Linked DNA regions of Mus musculus. The protein of the gene in region 1 purifies or fractionates together with the protein of each later gene. This does not show direct contact. Links are inferred from orthologs where the notes say so. Each region holds a gene or a part of one and is shown in the gene's direction. Other genes may lie near its edges.

Region 1 (4,297 bases):
AGCAACCAGTGCTCTTAACCACTGAGCCATCTCTGCAGCACCTGGCTTTTGTGTTCTGATGTTGATTAAAGTTTTAGATGTTTGTACTCTTACATTTATTTATCTCTTATGGTTTCTTAATTTTGTATCAGCCTAAAATTAATCTTTCCAGAGTTTGAAGTTACTTTTTTGTAGTAGCCTTTTCTGGCTTCTTCCAGATTCTTTCAACTGATTAACAGAACGTTACAATTCTGTGATATTTTAATGTATCGATACCAACACTTACCTTATTCAGATTTAAAAATTATGAAATAATGTAGCTGTGAACACCCAGTCTTTGAAGACTTTTATAAAATTCTTTTCTACTGTAAGTAGAAATAATAGGAAATGGAAGTTCCGTTATAAATTTCACTTGGCTATTTTAGTGTCCCAGTTGCATGCATAGTTGATTTTTCCTATTATCTCTACATGTATAGGGAGGTGAGCGTTAACATTCCTTGAAACCTTTCTGTACAAACTTGAATGCAGTTTGATTTTCTTGGCCCTGCATATTTCCTGAGTTGTTTTGTTTTGTTGTATTTTTAACTCTCTTTGTTCTGAACATCTCATTTCACATAGACTGCAATAATAGCATCTTAAAGAATAGTTTAGAAAACTTTTCTTCCTCAATAGTGTGATTATAAAAAACAAAAAACAAAAAAACAAAACCAAAAACCCCTTCGTCCCTCTGTTACTAGTCTCAGTAGAAACCCAGGTGACCGTGTCCTCCATTAAGTCCCGTCTTCTATCCAGGTGACCGTGTCCTCCATTAAGTCCCGTCTTCTATCCGTAGATCTGCAGGAAAGCATATCCAGAATCCATCGAACAATTGAACTCATGTACTCGGACAAATCCATGATCCAAGTAAGTGAGCGCTGGGCTGCCGGCCCCTGTCACTCTGTTGCCACACCGTGTGCTATTTGTAAGGATTTCTTTTTAATTCTGTGTATGTTTGTGTGTGCATTGGTGCCCTGGGAGGCCAACGCTGTAGGGTGACTTTAGAGCCAGAGTTACAGGCAGTTGTGGACTGCTGGACATGTGTGCCGAGAATGTTGAGTTATCCTTCCATCTTCACCTTCATCCTATTTATCTCACACCAATTCTTGGTACATGTTTTGTCATACAACTTGAATACATTTTATTCTAATAAGCAATATATTTGGTATTATAGTATAAACTAAGGAGAAAAACATTCTGATAAAATTTTATAACAGATTTCCTTCATGTTATACCTAAGTTACTCCTTTTAAAAAATCTTACAATAAAATTTACAAGCAGTTTTCCAAACATATTCATTAAGAAAAAAATATGTCCATAGGGAAAATGCATATGACCATTTAAAGGCAAATAATTGGGGTAGAAACCCTGAAGCCCCGTTCAACTCTAACTTCTTTCTGGGTGTGGGAGCAATGCCTGTAACCCCAGCGCTCGCGATGCTGAGGCAGGGAGATATGTTTGGGAGGCAGGCCAACAGGCTTGCATAGTTAGAAACTGTCTTCAGAGAGCAACAAGCATGCAAGCCTACTTTGGATATACATTGATCATGCAGTCTGGTGTTTTTGTCACTACAACTGTGAAGACAGAGAGAAACTGTGTGTATAAATGTCCACTGTAACTCCTTTGTTCAGTACAAAGAAGTACTGGGCCAGCCACCAACACGTACAATCTATTTTCAGTTTTGAAAATTACTTTCTCTTATATGTTTGTATATTTTTAGTTTAATAACTTCCATAGATTTTCTCCCTGAATAATTTTGCATGTTTTGTTTATTTGTTCTGTTGTTTTCCTCAAAACCTTTAATCCCAGCGACTTTTATTCTATTTAGAAAATGTGCCCCAGCTTTCCTTAAATAGGTAGTTTGCAGATGGCCTTGGGAAATGGTTTAGTAGACAGTATAATTCAACTTTGCATTTCTTTCCACGCCAGGTCCCTTACCGCCTCCATGCCGTCCTAGTTCATGAGGGCCAGGCTAATGCCGGCCACTACTGGGCGTACATCTTTGACCACCGGGAGAGCCGGTGGATGAAGTATAATGATATTGCTGTGACCAAGTCTTCATGGGAAGAGCTAGTGAGGGACTCTTTCGGTGGTTATCGAAATGCCAGTGCATACTGCTTAATGTACATAGACGACAAGGCACAGTTCCTAATACAAGGTAAGACGATGCCCTGCCATCACTGCTATTTCCATATCTGAGTGTTTTACCTGCATGTATGCAAGGGCACTGTGTAAGAGCCTAGTGCCTGCCCCCAAGAAGATAGGTGTGAACCCAGAGTCAGAGATGGTTGTTGTGAGCCATCATGTGGGTGTTGGAAACTGAACCCAGGTATTCAAGAGCAGCAAACTGCTGAGCTGTGTCTCCAACCCCACAGTGTGGCATTTTTGAGTAAGGATTTTTCTGTCATGATTTGGCTGTGTGATGAATTCACTGAGGGTGGAGAATTGCATTGAGAAGTGTTCATGAAAAGCTGGAATGGGGAGGTGATACAACCTAAGCTGGACTCCAGGAACGGGACCCACACCAGGCAGTCACACTGTACTCAGAGCTAATAACCAACATAAATCCGACTGTGCTCCCCATAGTGAGAGCTCCTTAGCTCCTGCAGCCAGCCGGACACTGGCTGACGGTTGACCCCTTAGTCTAGCACAGAGGGCCTTTGTTTCTGGCCTCTAAGATTTGCTCCAGCCTCATGGCCCAGTTTGAACTTTATATACTTCACTGACATTTGAGCTTCATGCCATCTCCTCTTGCACAGTTTTTTTTTGTATACTTCCCAAAACATCAGTTCAGGTTTTCTCAAAACATATTTCGGGGCTGGAGAGATGGCTCAGTGGTTAATAACACTGACTGCTCTTCCAAGATCTTGAGTTCAATTGCCAGCAACCACATGGTGACTCACAACCATGTTTAATGGGATCCAATGCCCTCTTCTGGTATATCTGAAGACGGCTACGGTGTACTCACATACATAAAATAAATAAATCTTTAAAAAAAACCAAAAGCATTTCTTCCATCAGACAATTGTGTGGTTAGGTTTGAACACTGTAATCTCTTTGGCTCAAAGCCCAAATCCCTGTGAAAATATACTGTAGTCTTTTTATTTCTGTTGTCCTAATGTAGTCTTTGCATAAAGAAAACACCCAGTATATCCCTTCTGTCTGTAGCCGTGTAAGCTTAACTAGGCTGTTCATTTATAACTAAAGTTTAATGTTGTAAGAAATCTTTAATCTCAGTGGGGTTTCTATCCCTGCTTTTGATCATTTAGTTCCCAGATAAAAGACACAGACTTTTATATTTCTAATAAGCCTTCAATGCACTACAGCTGGGCAAATCTACCTTCTGATCTATTAGAATCCACCTCTCCATCAATAACTCCGAGTTATAACTTTCCATGTTCCATCTAGGCAGCCCTCATGGCCATGTTTCTGATCTACTTGTGCCATGGAGTCTTCTCCCCTCCCCCCTCCTGCTCCCCCCTCTCCCATGCTCAACCAGGTAACTGAAAAACCTGCCTACCCAAATCCCTCCAGTAATTGGCTGTAGCCATTTTGATTTAACCAATAGTTTTAAATTAAGGAACAAGGTTTGCATAACAAAAGCTTGTAAACATGATTACTTACTCATAAGCCTAGACCTTTGGGTACAGAATTTAGCATTACAATAAATAGCCACAGAGCAAACTTCAACAGCTCACTTTGACTATTGAAGTACTAGTTGCACATTGTTTCAGAACACCTTGCTGCATTGATAAGCTTCACAGTTTATGTGATTTTATGTTGTATTTAATCCCTTAACATAAAAAACGGTTTTAGTTCTACTTTGAGCTTAACATAGTCAGAGATTGCTTCTGACTTTGGTGAAACAGTTATTTCCTGCATAATCAGACTTTGGATATTTTCTTATAATAGCAAAGTGAGGTTAGGCTCATGTTAGAATCACCAGACATTTTAATTAATTCTGTATTGCCTCTCCTTGCTACTCTTCAGACTCTAGGAACTTATCAGAAACCTTCGACTCATTTTTCTAATAGTTATGTCTTTGTTTTTCTGAGCACTTTTAGACTTTTTAAGAAAATGTAGGTAATGTTTGCTATGGTGACTGTATGTAATAATGAATAGTATATAGTTTATATGCCACTTGAAATGCATTCTATTTTGAACTTTGCATTTTTCCGTGACTTCTTAATTTTATACTAGTTTTTGAAATATGATTTTCAGAGGAGTTTAATAAAGAGACTGGGCAGGCCCTTGTTGGAATGGAAACCTTACCTCCAGACTT
Region 2 (5,097 bases), on another chromosome or scaffold:
GTGTGGCTTATACCAATTCTTGTTACACTTCTAGAGATCAAGCCCTAGATTCAAGAACCCAGTCGCTTGCCCTTTCTAGCTTCTATAGGCTGCCTGTAGTCCTTTGTTCCGTTTTTAAGGCTGACTGGCAGTAGCTTCAAAGCAGTCTCCCCTGCTTCTCTCATAAGCTTTTTTTCTGACTCTGTTGCTCTTGTCCCTAGCCCAGCGGGGCAGCATCAGAGCAATCTCTTCATAACTTTTACTGAACCAGGTCTGCAACTTCCTTCTGTCACTTTCCAGAACAGATCAGCAGATTATGGTGATGGGGGCATGGGTCTTGGTGGGAAACATTATTCTATAAAACACAACAAAGCTGGAATTGGGTATCACCTGTGGGCAGTTTCCTAATGTTAAACTCTAGGGTTTGCTCTGTTTCTTCAAAGATCTCCCACTTCAGTTTGCCCCCCCCCCCTTTTTATTTTTTTGGTTTTTCTGAGACAGGGTTTCTCTGTATAGCTCTGGCTGTCCTGGAACTCACTCTGTAGACCAGGCTGGCCTCAAACTCAGAAATCCACCTGCCTCTGCCTCCAGAGTGCTGGGATTAAAGGCATGCGCCACCACCGCCCGGCTCCCTTTGTTTTTTTAAATGTACCAATCCCGAAGTCAATTCTCCAAGGACAAATAAATTGGGGACACGTGTATCGGAAAGTAGATGTATTAAATTGATGGATATCGTTCCACATGGAAGATGAGAGCGGAGAATGTTTCCCCAACCAACGTATCCACATTCCATCGTTCTACCATGTCATCCGTAAGGAATGTCACTACCATTTAGTAACTGACACACAAAGGCAGCTTTCTTTCCGTCTTGCTAAATGTTACTCCCACCTGTCTCAGCAACCACGCTAGAAACCTGGCCTACCTATTCATTCCCCCGCTCAGAGCTGGCCTCCGCGTTTCCATCCCCACCGCCAGAGTCTAGGTTGTGGCTCTGATCCTTCACTGGCCCAGCCCTAACCCTTGCTGTGTCTGTTCATTTTCACTGCCCATTTAAGTCGTCTTTGCTTGGAATTAAGTCTTCCATCTTCAAACCCACACACCCAGGTAAGTAACTTTCAAGAGTGACGACTCTCCAGTTTCGGCCAGGAAAGACCTACAACCCAATTTCTACGGCTTCAAAGTTCACAGTGCCTGCTTCTTATGTGAAAGATGGAGTCTAATGGGCTTTATACGTTACACTTGGTAGTCCTGGAGTGTCGAGGACTTATGTCCGGGCTTTCTGTCAGGGTCTTGAAATAAGGAGTTCGAATGAGATCAGTTCGCCCGCAGCCTCGCATGCATTATTTCGTCCTAAGTTGACACCTTTCTAGCGCAGGCAAGTCGGGTATCCGTCTTCCCACTGACAGAAGGAGGAAACTGAGTCGTGGTATTTCAGGCCTGGCCTCGTAGCACCTTCATGCTGGTAATGCCTCTCTTGGCCCATTCTCCTCGTCCAACTTCTCGCACGTAGCTGACTGTCCATCAGGCAAGCGACTAAGTGCAGAAAGACGAGGCTTTCTCCAACCGGCGCTCCGGCTCGTCCCCTTACGCAGTGACGCGACCGATGACGCTATTCAGTGACGTGTGATGACGTGCCTCACCCTGAGCCAGGTGTCGGCAGGGCGGCCACACCCTCAGGGCCCAGTACTGGAGGGGCAGTGGCTCCGACCTGGGGAAACACGCCGCAAGACCCCCGCCTGAGGCGACCTGGGGCCCTGGCGTCCTGGGTTCTACTGGCCCACGGTTGAGCCGTTGCTAAGTGACGCCAGCGCGCAGAGCGCGTGCGCGGCCACGGCGGTGTGCGTGAAAGCGGGCGCGCGCCGCGACGGCGGCGGCGAGGAAGGCGGCGACGGCGGCGGTCGAGGGGGCGGTGGCCACGAGGCGGGGTCGCTGCTGGCGGAAGAGACGTGTGTGGCGGCTTCTAGGTCGCTGAGGGACATCGTCGGGGTGAGTCGCCCGGACCGCTCGTGAGAGTTGGGGCCTGGCCGCACCTGCTGCGCGGGCCCGGGGCGCGGGGACGCGCTCCCCCTCCCCGCCGGACCCGCGCGCGCCGCTCCACGCCCCTCGGCCGCTGGTTCCGGGGGCGGGGACGGGGGCTGAGGAGGGTCAGTTCCCGGGCCTGGCGCTCTGGGGTGGGGGTGGGGGGGGGTGAGAGGGGGGCGCTGGAGAGAGGGGTGCCGAGGGACAAGTGACTGGACTCCAGTGCGACGCTGCCGGTTTCCTTTTAGGAATTTGAAGCGGGAGAAGCCCGCGTTCCTCAGCAGCCGCGCGTCCACACTGAGACGCCGACTGTGCAAACCTGACAAACGCGGAAATGGGGACCCTCGGGGTTCGCAAAGTTTTGGGGTAAACCGCGAAGAGATCCGTCAGCTCTACCCTGGCGGGTCTGGGAGTAGGAGCGGGTTGTTAGAGAGATCGTTAGAATCTGTGCCTGCGTGAGCGTCGGGCACACCCACGACCCGGGGAAGGCGACTTGTCAGTGAAGATGCTGGTTGACTAACCTGTTGCCTGGACCTTCCAGCCTCACGTGCATGCCCACGTGCTTCTCTGAACATTATTATTATTATTATTATTATATCCTGTGTTGATCCACATTTTTGAAGCCAAGGGACCATATCCATCCAGTATTGTTACTTCCTCATAGACTCAAATCTGCCCTTGTATCTATTTCCCAGAACCGTGCTGTGCTTTGGCCATTTCAAGGGTCTTGCAGGTAGAGCAGCCCTGCCTTTTGTGTGTGTTCTTCCCAGAAGCAGTGCGGGCTGTTATTTATCTGGTGGAAATGTAGATTGTGTTTCACGCGTGGGCTGGCATGGTGAGACTGGAGTTAAATGATGCAACTGGCCATCAGCCAGTATACAGGATTCTGTTGGGTCCGTTGTATGTGGTGGTTTTTTAAGGAGGAATAATGGAGACAAATGGAAGAAATAATCTTTCCCGTTATGAGTTAAAGGCAGTGCCAAGTGAGAGTGACAAGATAGGGAGCACTGACATTTGATCATGCCTAAAAACTGAGGGACATAACTTTAGAGTTTCCACCCAGAGTCTAAAATCAGGAGATTCAGTTTTATAACGGAGTCTCTGTAAGGTATGGTCTCTGAAGTTCTCACGTCTTGGAATCAGTAAAGCTTGCTTTGAAAAACCACTCAGGAGCCACTGTTCTATTACGAGCTTTTGTGAGTGAGTTACTTATTTCCCCTTTTGCTTGTGCCTCCTAGAAAACTGCCCGCTCCCGGGTAGATAGCTATGCGGTTGATGCGGCCTCATACCCCGTGGACAGTACAAGGGGAACATTTAGTTTTATCCTTCACATAGTTAATGCAACTGCCTCCCTCTTTCCCGAGTTGTGCCTCTTAGTGAGAGGGTTATGGGGTCACAAGTGAGGTCCCTGACCAGCCTGTTTTCTTTTAAGAATGAGCTGTCTAGTCAGAAAAAGAAATCATGTATATGTCAAAGAATCCCAGAAGGAAGTGAGGTAGTAGGATTAGGTGGGGCTATAGTATAGGAGAAGTTTACACAGGAGGAGGTCAGATACAGGGCTGGCCTTTAAACAGAGAGTAAAATTGGAATTAGGAAAGAGATAAATCCTGTGGTGAAAAGTTAGTGCTAATTTGGTCATTGGATGGCGGAAGGATATTTTGAGGAGGCTTGTGTGACTGGAGCAGAGAAAGGTTCCTTGTACAGAAATAGTGGGGAGAGAGGCTTTACAGGGTGGCTGTAAAAGTGTTACAGACATCCCATTAATTTTAGTGTAGACTCCGTCCTGGTTAGTTTTTTGTCAACTTGACAAAAACTAGAATCACTGGGGAAAAGGACCGTCCGTCTGCTGAGGAAGTGCTTCCGTCAGGTTGGCCTGCACAGGATGGGTGTGTGGTGTGAGGGCATTTTCTTAATTGATAATTGATACAGGAGGTCCCACCCACTGCCCTGCAGATCTGGCTAGGCCTTGGCAGGCTGTCCTGGGTTGTAGGAGACAGGCAAGCCAGGAAACGGCATCTGGCTCCTGCCTCCAGGTTCCGGCCTTTGCTTTTCTTGATGATGGACAGTTGGCCTGTAATCAAAATAACCCCTCTCCTAAGCTGGTTTTGATCAGGGTTTTATCACAGCAACAGCAAATCAACTGGAACAGAGTATGTCTGTAGGGTGGGATCAAAATAAAATCTTAGACAAGAATAAGTTACAAGTGTTACTCTTTTAAAACATCTGTTTCTCCTCTTCCTCCCCCTCCTCTTCTTCCTTCTCCTGCTTCTTCTTCTTTTTGTTTTGTTTTTGTTTTTTTTTTTTTTGACAGGGTTTCTCTATGTCATGGTTTTTCTGGCTGTCCTGGAACTCAGAAATCTGCCTGTTTCTGCCTCCCAAGTGCTGGGATTAAAGGCGTGTGCCACCACTGCCTGACTCTTCTTTTTTTAAAAAAAATTGGTTATTTTAATCTATTTGATTTTTTTTTTTTTTGAGACAGGGTTTCTCTGTGTAGCCCTGGCTGTCCTGGAACTCACTTTGTAGACCAGGCTGGCCTCGAACTCAGAAATCCACCTGCCCATGCCTCCTGAGTGCTGGGACTAAAGGCGTGCGCCACCACGCCCGGCCAATCTATTTGATTCTTGAGATAGGGTTTTACATATATCCTTGGCTGGCCTAGAACTTATTTTGCAGAGTATTCTCCTTACTCTGCTTCTTGAGTACTGGAATTACAGGTGCTAGCTATCAAGCCCTGCCTAAAAATAAATGTTATTTTTACTTAAAGGATATCTGGCTGAGCTAGGATAAAATTTCTGTATCCTTTGATTTCATTTAGTAATTGGAATAAATGTTTCATTCCTGTGCAGTTATCCTGGGCTGTCAGTATTGCATGCCTTCAGCCACTAAAATCTACCTAATCGTCATCTGATGATATTCAGTGATATTCATGATACAGTTTCCATCATGATTATCTCTCACAATGCCCTGCCAAACAATAACTTCCGACCCTGTGACAAAGGTACAAATATGTTAGCTAGAAAGGGAGTCTATCTGAAGAAAGGTACTAATAGACACTGACAAAAGGATCTGACAGTAATTAGACTCTGCTGGAGAATATTA
Region 3 (4,730 bases), on another chromosome or scaffold:
AGACTAACTTCAAGAAGCACAACATGTCGCACAGGAGTCCAGACTGTGAAGTAAAAATAAACACAAGTTGCTGAGCGACTTTCTTTTATGGTAGAAGTCGCTAGTTTCCCAGGCCTAAGGGCCACCATCTAAGTGTAGACCATGTAACAGACATTGTAGATCTATTTAACTAGGCCTCCCTTTGGAAGCCTATCCTGTGAGGCTACAACACCCCAATTTTAAAAGCCTAAGATAAGACAACAGCTCTTAAAGAAACCATTAATAAGCCAAACTATTGCTCTTAGACAGCTACAGCCTATCCAGATGGGGAAACGAAATGCAGAGGGCACATAACTCGCCAGTGTCCTCACCCACCGTCCCTGACTTTGAATTCCCAAAGGAATTACTTATCGGCAAGTCAAAAAGGCAAGGTTCAGGAATCACACACACAGAAAGGCACCACAAAGAGAAGTTGAGAATGCCAGGCACCCTGTGAGGCTAGCTAGGCTTAAGTCAAAATACGATCCAGTTTTTCCAGCTTTTGATCAAGAGCCGTCAGGAACCACACTAAAACGTATTCTAAAATAATCTCCGTAAAACAATCTAATTACTCTATTTACAGAGGAGGAAACTGAGGGTCAGAGATGGGACTAGATTCACCCAAGGTCACACAGCGAGCGACAGCACTGGGCTCGAATTCCACTTGGGGTGATCCGGAGGCCCGACGCCTCTCACAGGCACCGACATCAACAACCACAAGAACAAGTCCGTCTCGCCCACAATCAGTTGGCTGGCAAGGCCAGTCGCCTCGGCACGGAAATCAATGGAAGGGGGACAAGGAGATCCCCGAAGCCCGCAAGCCAGTCCCTCCTCCGACTTCACTCAAACCAAGACTCGGCCCCCCAGATAGCCTCCCTCCGTCCCTGGCCCCGCCGCCCAGAGAAGCGCCCATCCTGTCCCCACTCGCTACCCGCAGTCCGGAGATCTTTATCCGTTCGAGGCCCCGCACTCGGGGTCCGGGCCGCAGCGACCGCCGCCTTAGCCCGATCCCCCCGAGGTCCGCCAGCCCCGGGGCAGCGGCCGAAGCCCGGCCGCCATCTTGCCCCGGGTGTTGTGCTCCGAACACCTCTTGGGAAGCAAGCAATTATTCAGTTCCGGGAAACAACAGTTCCGCACTGCTTCTTTGCCCATGGAGGAGGTGAGGACTCCTTTCCTCTTGTCATCTTCTTTAGCAGACGGAAAGGAGAAACAAACATCCAGAAGTGGGACTAAACGCCTGACTCGGCCAAGGGGAGGCGGGAACGGTTGATAAAAAGAGTTCCCCCCATCTAGGGCTTACGGGGGTGGGGGGTGGGGGGGAACGCTTTAAGAAGAGTCCCTCTGCGGGGCGGAAGTGGGGTGTGGACGGACGCCGGAAGTGCCCGCCCCGGCCCCGCCTCCGCCCCCTGCATTGAGCGAGCTGGGTGTTTCCTGCCTCTCAGTCCGGATTTGGAGACTCCGGCGTCCTCCGACTTTTCATGGTGAGGGCGGTGGCCGCCGTCGGGGAGCTTCGGGGCGGGCGAGGGTGGCGACGAGGCTGAGCGGGAGCGGTGGGGCGCTGAGTAGCGCGTGCGGGCGAGGTCCGGAGCGGGGGAAGGGCTTCAAATGAAAGGAGCCGTGGTCGGGGTGGTGGTGGTGGGGATCTGCGAAGGGGCGGCTGGTCCTGCGGGCGGTGGTGGCGCTGGGCGGCGAGCCTGGAGTGCTGATGGGCGATGGGACGTGGGAGATCGTCGGGACAAAGAGACGGCGGCGGAGGCATCGAGACCGACGCTCGGGGTGGGGAACGAACGAGGGTTCGAGGGCGTGTGGAGAGGGGCGAGCGTGTACCCTTGGAATCGAGCAAAGTCTGGCCTCTGGGAGGCTGTGCCTTGAGTAAGGTGGGGTTCCAGGCAAGAGAGGGAGGGGGCGTCTCTGAACCCACAAGTCTGGAGCGAGATGACTGGTAACAGTAATTCTAAGGAGACATGTCTGAGGTCGGGGTACCCTGACCACAGAGTCTGGCCTCAAGTGGCACCTGGATACCTACCTAATCACTTCCCTTGAGGCCCTAGGTGACCACACCTCGGGAGTCCCAGGATGTCAGCTGTTGCTGTCTGCGTTATGGGATGGTTTCGGTTTACTTGAGATTCTCTAGGGTCTGTCCCTTGAATGGTTCTTTGTCCTTGGGTGGGGATGGGGGGCGGGTGGACTATTAACCCAGGTCTTCTTTGTCTGCCACTCACTCACAAGATCAGTCCCAAACTGAAGACAGATGACTCGGCCTGTGTCTGGCTTTGGTCAAGCTCTATTTGGTATAAAACAAGAGACACACACATTGGTAGAAGGCGGCCAGCAGCACCGGTAGACCACCAACTGGTCCCCTGGGGCTAACCTGGGAACTAGTTAACAACAGGATAGTCTGGGCTCACCGATGTATTTTTACAGTCTCTGTGTGTCACTAAGGATTTGGGCTGTGAAATGGAGGGCGTTTGAAACCAGATTCTAATACCTAGCTTCCCTAGTAAGCAGGATTGACAACATCCTCATTGAGACTGTTTGGAGAAGTTCTCAAAAGCAGGAGAACTGGGGGGGGGGGGGTGACTATCCTAGAAAAAAGTGTGGGGCTTTAGTTTTTGGCCTCCTTTAACTTCGTTTGCTTCACGCAGTAGCCCTGTAGCAGAGACCTCAGGTTAGTTTAGCCTCCTTGCATAATACCCCTTAAGCAACCCGCCCGGAAGAGCTCCCTTCAGATCTCCAAGGCTACTAGATAAACAGATTGTCTAATCCTCCTTTGTATCGGAATCACCTGAAAGAGCCTTTTAATCCCAAATTGCAGGCAGCAGCACTCCTTGCTGGCCTGGGGTCTCCGCCCAGGCAGGCAGGCAGGCAGGCAGGCAGGCAGGCAGGCAGGCAGGCAGGCAGGCAGGCAGGCAGGCAGGCAGGCAGGCAGCAGTGTCTTGGAAGCTCTGGTGACTCTAATATCTCCAGTTGAGAACACCAAGTCTTGAGGAGTTCAGGAGTGGAAGGGAGCCTGAGGGAGGAGGAGGAGGTGGGCCGGGCTTTGACTCTGTTCTTGGGGCAGGGGCAGGGTGAGGGTGGGGGGAGACAGTATTTGGAAGGTTCTGGCTTTAACAGTCTGTTTTACAAAGGAGGAAACTGAGACTTAGGTTCAATAGCTCTTGTGAACCTTGCACAGAAAGTGGCGGCCTGAAACTGCAGTCCAGGTTGGCTCCACCATCGGCTTGTTTCCCTCAGCTTTCAGGAGACAGTCTGCAGGGAGTTAGTATTTTCTAGGTTTTGTTTGTTTTCCCCTGTCTTTTTTGTCTGGCTTTCCAACAAGACAGTCAACAATTCTCTCTTTTGGCCGATTTTGTTGTGGGTTTTTTTTTTTTCAATCGCTGTGAAGTGAGACTTTTATTTTGTTGTGGGTTTTTTTTTTCAATCGCTGTGAAGTGAGACTTTTATTTGTGATGTTTTGGTTTGTTTTTATATGCGGGTCAGGAAATCACTGGGCCAACAGAGTATGAGGTTTGTTAGAGAGCTTCTTCAAGACCACAGAGCTAATTATAGCCGAATGAAGGGGTACAGAACCATTTAGAACAGAGGCTTGTCATGTTGACTGCACATTAGAACCAGCTGGGGAAATTAAAAAAAAAAAGTTCCCTGGGCCACACCCGGAAGGCTGATAACAGAGGAATGTGTGTGTGTAGGACGCAGACATTACTGTCTTTTAAAAGCTCCTCTGGGTTTCCAGTGTATGGCCAGGTGGAGCCACCATTTATTTAGTGGGCAACAGTCCGGAAAGAAACTTAGATTCACCCGTCCCACCAGAACAAACTTGTCACTGACTCACCCTTTCACTGGTACCAAGTTTGCTCTCCTGCACACACAGCCCCCCCCCCCCCCCCCCCAGTTACTCATGAAGTCGGCCTGCAGGAGGACAGTGTCTCTGTGGGGAAGGCAGTGGCAGGCGACTGCTCTGTGACCCCAGGTCACCATCACAGCCCAGGATGTGAGTGGAGCCAGAACCTGCCCTCCAAGGGTCTATCCTGGTGCCAGGCACCAGGCTGCCCAGGGTGTGGGACTCAGGAAAGTCTCCAGGCTTTCATTGCTTCACCTGGTGTCTCAGGCTCCATCCTGATCCTCCATGCCTTCAGTTATTCATAGTTGGAGACAGTCTCCAAAGAGGAGACGACTTAAGACTCAGATAATCACAACAGCAGTGTTTCCTGCTGAGTGTTTGGCCGGCCTGGGCTGTGCTGAGTGCTTTGTGTCCACCCGGCTGCTTGCAACAAGGAGGGAGGGCCAGTGTCTGATAGCTGGGATACATTCGGGGATCTTGCCCACCGTGTCCCTGCGCCAGTGTGTGTGGCCGAGTTGGGGCCTTGAACATGGGTCTGGAAACACCTGAACTACACACTGCTTATCTTTCACCTTTTTTCTTTCAATGAGACGGAACTGTTCTATCTTGACTTCCATGTCATAGCTCTAAATATGCCAAGCATCACAAACAACCCAGGGCCGGGCAGGCCTTGGCCACATGCTTTGCTTGCTTTTCGCTGACCCTCTGTGAGCCATAGAATAGAGATGACCAACGCTGCCTCCACACTGTGGATGCTGTCCCAGAGTGGTAGAGATTAAGTGGTCAGGGGCATGGGCATATATATATATATATATAGAGAGAGAGAGAGAGTGTGTCAGTGCTCTCTGCCCTACTTAGAGTGAGGCTGCGC
Region 4 (5,025 bases), on another chromosome or scaffold:
GGCTCAGAGGTAAAGAGCACTGGGTGCTCTTCCAGAGGACCCAGGGTTCAGTTCCAAGCATCTAGAGGATAGATCACACCTGCCTGTTACTCCAGTTGACATCCTCGCATAGCCATACATGCAGACAAAACACCAATGAACATAAAAATAAATGTAAAATAAACCATTGAAATATGAGGAGCATGTGTCCCTAATAACCATAAATGTTCATGCCTGGTTTCTCATTAACCTTGCTAGCTTAGTAGGGAAAGGACCGATGTCTTGAAGTTTGCTCTGGCACCTTCTCAGGAAGTGATCTTGTTCTTTCTTTCCCTACAGGTAGAAATTAATCTCTCGGAAGTGCCTCTTCACAGCCAGGTGACATGTCAGAGCCACTCAGGAAAGGCTTACCCCAACTCCTGAACCAAGCAGCCTCCCAGAACTTAGCTCCTGGGAAGAACTTCTCAAGACCATTCTCATTTCAACAAAGCTCTGGTATAACAGGGCACCTGGGGGGGGGGGGGGGAAGGAACGACGACCACAGGTTGTTCTACTAGTTTGGGGAAAAGAATGTTGTTCTACTAGTTTCCCGGGATTGCTGCAATTGGCCGGAAACCACCGGGAGAAGAAGGAAGGAGAAATAAAGGAAGATTAATCACCTATAGTTAAGTAAATTACATACATTTTTTTGGGGTCATCAACAGGTTGTAAGTAAGCTCTCTATATACCAATTTTGGAAAATCTTGAACTGGAAAAAAAAAATCCAGTAGGATACATGCCATTTAGAAAAGAGCCAGGAAGTGGAGCATAAGAATGTAAGTATATTCTTAGTCTGCATACAAGTAAACGCTAGAAGGATTTGGAACTTCGAGAACAGAGAACTACGGCAAATTATATACTTATTCTCAAATCAAAGTTAAAATTTGCCAGTAGCTAGAGAACTGCATGTTAATAAAAAATACTTATAAAAGCAAAGTTCAACACAAGGGAAACGCAAAGGGTAACTATTTTGGAAACATTGACTTGAATATTCTACCAAATATTATCATTATCCAAATCAGGATAACGTTTTGTGTTCAAATCATCTGCGCTTATTACAGAGTCCATAAGATAATGGAGGACATTTGTACACTGATGAAAACAGTGGACAAAGTAAACTATAACATGCTCAACTACTGGAAAACTGTAGCCAGTTAAAAATAGTGTTTGGAAAACAAAACCCTGAAAACCGTATTTATGAAGGCATTATCTCTCCTGCCAAATATTAAAAAAATGTATCATTAGGACCAAAATTTAGTGGCAAGTTAAATCTCATGTGTCTTAAATGTTAAACAAACAAACAAAAAACCTTTTACAATCAACATTTTTAATTGAGTGTGACGCAAACTGTAAAACTGTTCTTGAAGAAAATAAATAAATAAAACGATACAATGATTTCTTCTGCCAGGCTTCTTGTGTTTGAACAAAGGTTGCCTTTCGTTGCTGCTCTGGCAAAGACCTTAAGCGTAAATCTTGAAAAGAACGCGCTCTTGAAAAGCAAGCTTAAGCACACGCACGCGCATTCCTACAAGCTTACATAATGGACCCTGCACCGGCCTCGCTGGCCGGCCGGAACCCCGCCCCCAGTCCCGCCCGCGCCCTGCCCCCATCCACCGCCCCCTTGCCAGCTCAGCCGCGCAAGCGCACTAGCTGTGCAGCCGCTCCTAGCCCGGGGGATCCTGGGATTCTGCCTTTCCGGAAGGTCGGGCTGGCTCTCGGTGCTAGGCCGCCGTTCTAGGCCCAAGTCGGGATTCCAGGCCCTGCTCCAAGCCAAGTCCGTAGCCGCGACGACACAGCGGGGATCGCAGAGGACGCGGCCGCAGCTCGTTGGGGTGGCTGAGCCTTGGAGGGCGGCAGCCGGGGTGCGCAGGCCGTGACGGCCCCTCCCCCGCCCTGAGCGCAGCGGCGAAGGACGACAGCCCGGGACCGGAGGAGGTGAAGCGGTCACGTAACTGCCCCGGGTGATGACTCACCCGCTCTCCTGGCAGATTTGAGGTGCGTGCTGCTGTTGCTGCAGGGCGGACGTCGGTGTGCCCAGAGCGGTGCTGCGGCGACCGCTTGCTTGCCCTTGGTTCGGCGGCCCCGGGGTTTCCCGAGAGCGTTCTCTTTGTAACGTCTGCGGCCTGCAGCTCGCAGCGAGCTCCGGCTTCTCCCATGAAGGTGTCTCTGGGTAACGGCGACATGGGCGTCTCTGCCCACCTGCAGCCTTGCAAGTCTGGAACTACGCGGTTTTTTACCAGCAACACGCACAGTTCGGTTGTATTGCAAGGCTTTGATCAGCTCAGAATAGAGGGCCTACTTTGTGACGTGACGCTGGTACCTGGCGATGGAGAGGAAATCTTCCCGGTTCATAGAGCCATGATGGCGTCTGCCAGTGATTATTTCAAGGCCATGTTCACTGGAGGAATGAAAGAGAAAGATTTGATGTGCATCAAGCTTCATGGGGTGAACAAAGTTGGTCTGAAGAAAATCATTGATTTTATTTATACTGCAAAACTGTCTCTTAATATGGACAATCTTCAGGACACTCTTGAAGCTGCCAGCTTTCTACAGATCTTGCCGGTTTTGGATTTTTGTAAAGTATTTCTTATATCAGGCGTCTCTTTGGATAACTGTGTGGAGGTTGGCCGGATTGCTAACACCTACAATCTTATAGAAGTGGATAAATACGTAAATAATTTCATCCTGAAGAACTTTCCTGCCTTGTTGAATACTGGGGAGTTTCTGAAACTCCCCTTTGAACGGCTTGCCTTTGTGCTTTCCAGCAATAGTCTCAAGCACTGTTCGGAACTTGAGCTCTTCAAGGCAGCCTGCCGCTGGCTGAGGCTGGAAGACCCTCGGATGGACTATGCCGCAAAATTAATGAAGAATATTCGCTTTCCACTGATGACACCACAGGATCTCATCAACTATGTGCAGACAGTAGATTTCATGAGAACAGACAATACCTGTGTGAATTTACTTTTGGAAGCAAGCAATTACCAAATGATGCCGTATATGCAGCCGGTGATGCAGTCGGACAGAACTGCCATTCGATCTGATTCTACTCATTTGGTTACCTTAGGAGGAGTTTTGAGACAACAGCTAGTTGTCAGTAAAGAGTTACGAATGTACGACGAAAGGGCGCAGGAGTGGAAGTCGTTAGCGCCCATGGATGCTCCTCGATACCAGCATGGCATTGCTGTTATTGGAAATTTCCTTTATGTAGTTGGTGGCCAGAGTAATTATGATACAAAAGGAAAAACGGCTGTTGATACAGTTTTCAGATTTGATCCTCGTTATAATAAGTGGATGCAGGTGGCATCATTAAACGAAAAGCGCACATTCTTTCACCTGAGTGCCCTCAAAGGACATTTATATGCAGTTGGTGGGCGCAGTGCAGCTGGTGAACTGGCCACAGTAGAATGTTACAACCCAAGAATGAATGAATGGAGCTACGTTGCAAAGATGAGTGAACCCCACTATGGCCATGCTGGAACAGTATATGGGGGTTTAATGTATATTTCCGGAGGAATCACTCATGACACTTTCCAAAATGAGCTCATGTGTTTTGACCCAGATACAGACAAATGGACACAGAAGGCTCCTATGACTACAGTCCGAGGTCTGCATTGCATGTGTACAGTTGGAGACAAGCTGTATGTCATCGGTGGCAACCACTTCAGAGGAACAAGTGATTATGATGATGTCCTAAGCTGCGAATACTATTCGCCAACTCTTGACCAGTGGACACCAATTGCTGCTATGCTGAGAGGTCAGAGTGATGTTGGAGTTGCAGTCTTTGAAAACAAAATCTATGTTGTTGGTGGATATTCTTGGAATAACCGGTGCATGGTAGAAATTGTCCAGAAATATGACCCAGAAAAAGACGAGTGGCATAAAGTTTTTGATCTTCCTGAGTCGCTGGGTGGCATTCGGGCTTGCACTCTCACAGTTTTTCCACCTGAAGAAAACCCTGGGTCACCTTCTAGAGAATCACCTCTTTCAGCACCTTCAGATCATTCTTAGATCCAAGGTGTAATACCTTTTCAGTGTATCATGGGTGGTCTTGTTCATCCCCTTGTATTGTTTCTCCTTATTGCTACAGTTAATAGACAAAAAGGTAACTTAGACCCTTTTTTTTTTTTGGTTTGGCTTGATATTGTTTAGTAAATGGCTATACAAGTGCATTTTGAAAAGTATTAAATATATTCAGCTGTTTTAACAAGTAAAAAAGATACATAGAAAATTAGATTTTTTTTTGTGGTGTTACATGTGTCAAATTATAGATGATCTTAGTAAATGTGTAATTATGTCTGTTATACTAAAAATTAAAACATTTGATTTGACTGAAACATTAAATGGAGGTCCCCTGTTCTAACCTAATATAAAGATTGCCAAGGTACAGCTACCTCCCTCTTGGATAGTTTTGGACAATCTGTTGTCTAGGCTGTGTGATTAGTCTTAGAATATTTGAAGTTTCCTAGGTAGACAGAAATAGTAACAATATTAACTAGAAGAAACAGGTCAGGATTTGTTCTCTCACTGGAGAAAAAATAATAGGTGTGTACACTAGTCAGATATTCATGCTCACTCAAAAATTTGTGTACACACATAAACTTTTAGACTTGATAGAAACTTCAACTGTTGTGAAAATGACCTTATATTTTCTTCCAGAAAGCAGCTAATTTTATTTCAATGAGAATTCAATACCAGAGAGTCCGTGTCTAAAGTCTTAAACCGAATTTAGATAGCTAAGGGCTACAACAAACTAAATTGACAGCCAAATTTGTCATTTAATAGAATTTTTTCTTTAAATGAAATTTAATTAGTTTTTCTGTAGTCTGTAGTTACATGCTTATTTAGCAGAAAGCAAGTTTCAAAGAACTGTTTTTGTCTTTGTTGTTTTTTTTATCATTAACTTTTACCTGTGAAAATCGGGAGTTAAGGAAGGCATAGAAGCATTCTCAACAAAGCTCCAGGATTTTAAGTTTAGTCTCCTGCCTCAGTCACTCTGACATGCCTATT

The links.
Region 2: the proteins of Usp25 (region 1) and Btbd9 purify together in Homo sapiens (affinity purification with mass spectrometry; 3 studies listed by BioGRID and IntAct, counting the BioPlex papers as one, with this or other methods). This does not show direct contact. The link is inferred for Mus musculus from reciprocal best matches to the Homo sapiens genes USP25 and BTBD9.
Region 3: the proteins of Usp25 (region 1) and Kctd10 purify together in Homo sapiens (affinity purification with mass spectrometry; 4 studies listed by BioGRID and IntAct, counting the BioPlex papers as one, with this or other methods). This does not show direct contact. The link is inferred for Mus musculus from reciprocal best matches to the Homo sapiens genes USP25 and KCTD10.
Region 4: the proteins of Usp25 (region 1) and Klhl9 purify together in Homo sapiens (affinity purification with mass spectrometry; 3 studies listed by BioGRID and IntAct, with this or other methods). This does not show direct contact. The link is inferred for Mus musculus from reciprocal best matches to the Homo sapiens genes USP25 and KLHL9.

The regions. Positions count from the first base shown.
Region 1 is NC_000082.6:77,079,513-77,083,809, forward strand, and holds part of Usp25 (ubiquitin carboxyl-terminal hydrolase 25), read left to right. Parts: intron 1-811; coding exon 812-882; intron 883-1,944; coding exon 1,945-2,173; intron 2,174-4,236; coding exon 4,237-4,297. UniProt on the Homo sapiens protein: Deubiquitinating enzyme that hydrolyzes ubiquitin moieties conjugated to substrates and thus, functions in various biological processes including inflammation and immune response.
Region 2 is NC_000083.6:30,573,014-30,578,110, reverse strand, and holds the start of Btbd9 (BTB/POZ domain-containing protein 9), read left to right. Parts: upstream 1-1,823; 5' UTR 1,824-1,965; exon of another isoform or gene 1,966-2,123; intron 2,124-5,097.
Region 3 is NC_000071.6:114,377,195-114,381,924, reverse strand, and holds the start of Kctd10 (BTB/POZ domain-containing adapter for CUL3-mediated RhoA degradation protein 3), read left to right. Parts: upstream 1-1,419; 5' UTR 1,420-1,496; coding exon 1,497-1,499; intron 1,500-4,730. UniProt on the Homo sapiens protein: Substrate-specific adapter of a BCR (BTB-CUL3-RBX1) E3 ubiquitin-protein ligase complex. The BCR(BACURD3) E3 ubiquitin ligase complex mediates the ubiquitination of target proteins, leading to their degradation by the proteasome.
Region 4 is NC_000070.6:88,719,150-88,724,174, reverse strand, and holds the start of Klhl9 (kelch-like protein 9), read left to right. Parts: upstream 1-1,666; 5' UTR 1,667-2,172; coding exon 2,173-4,026; 3' UTR 4,027-5,025.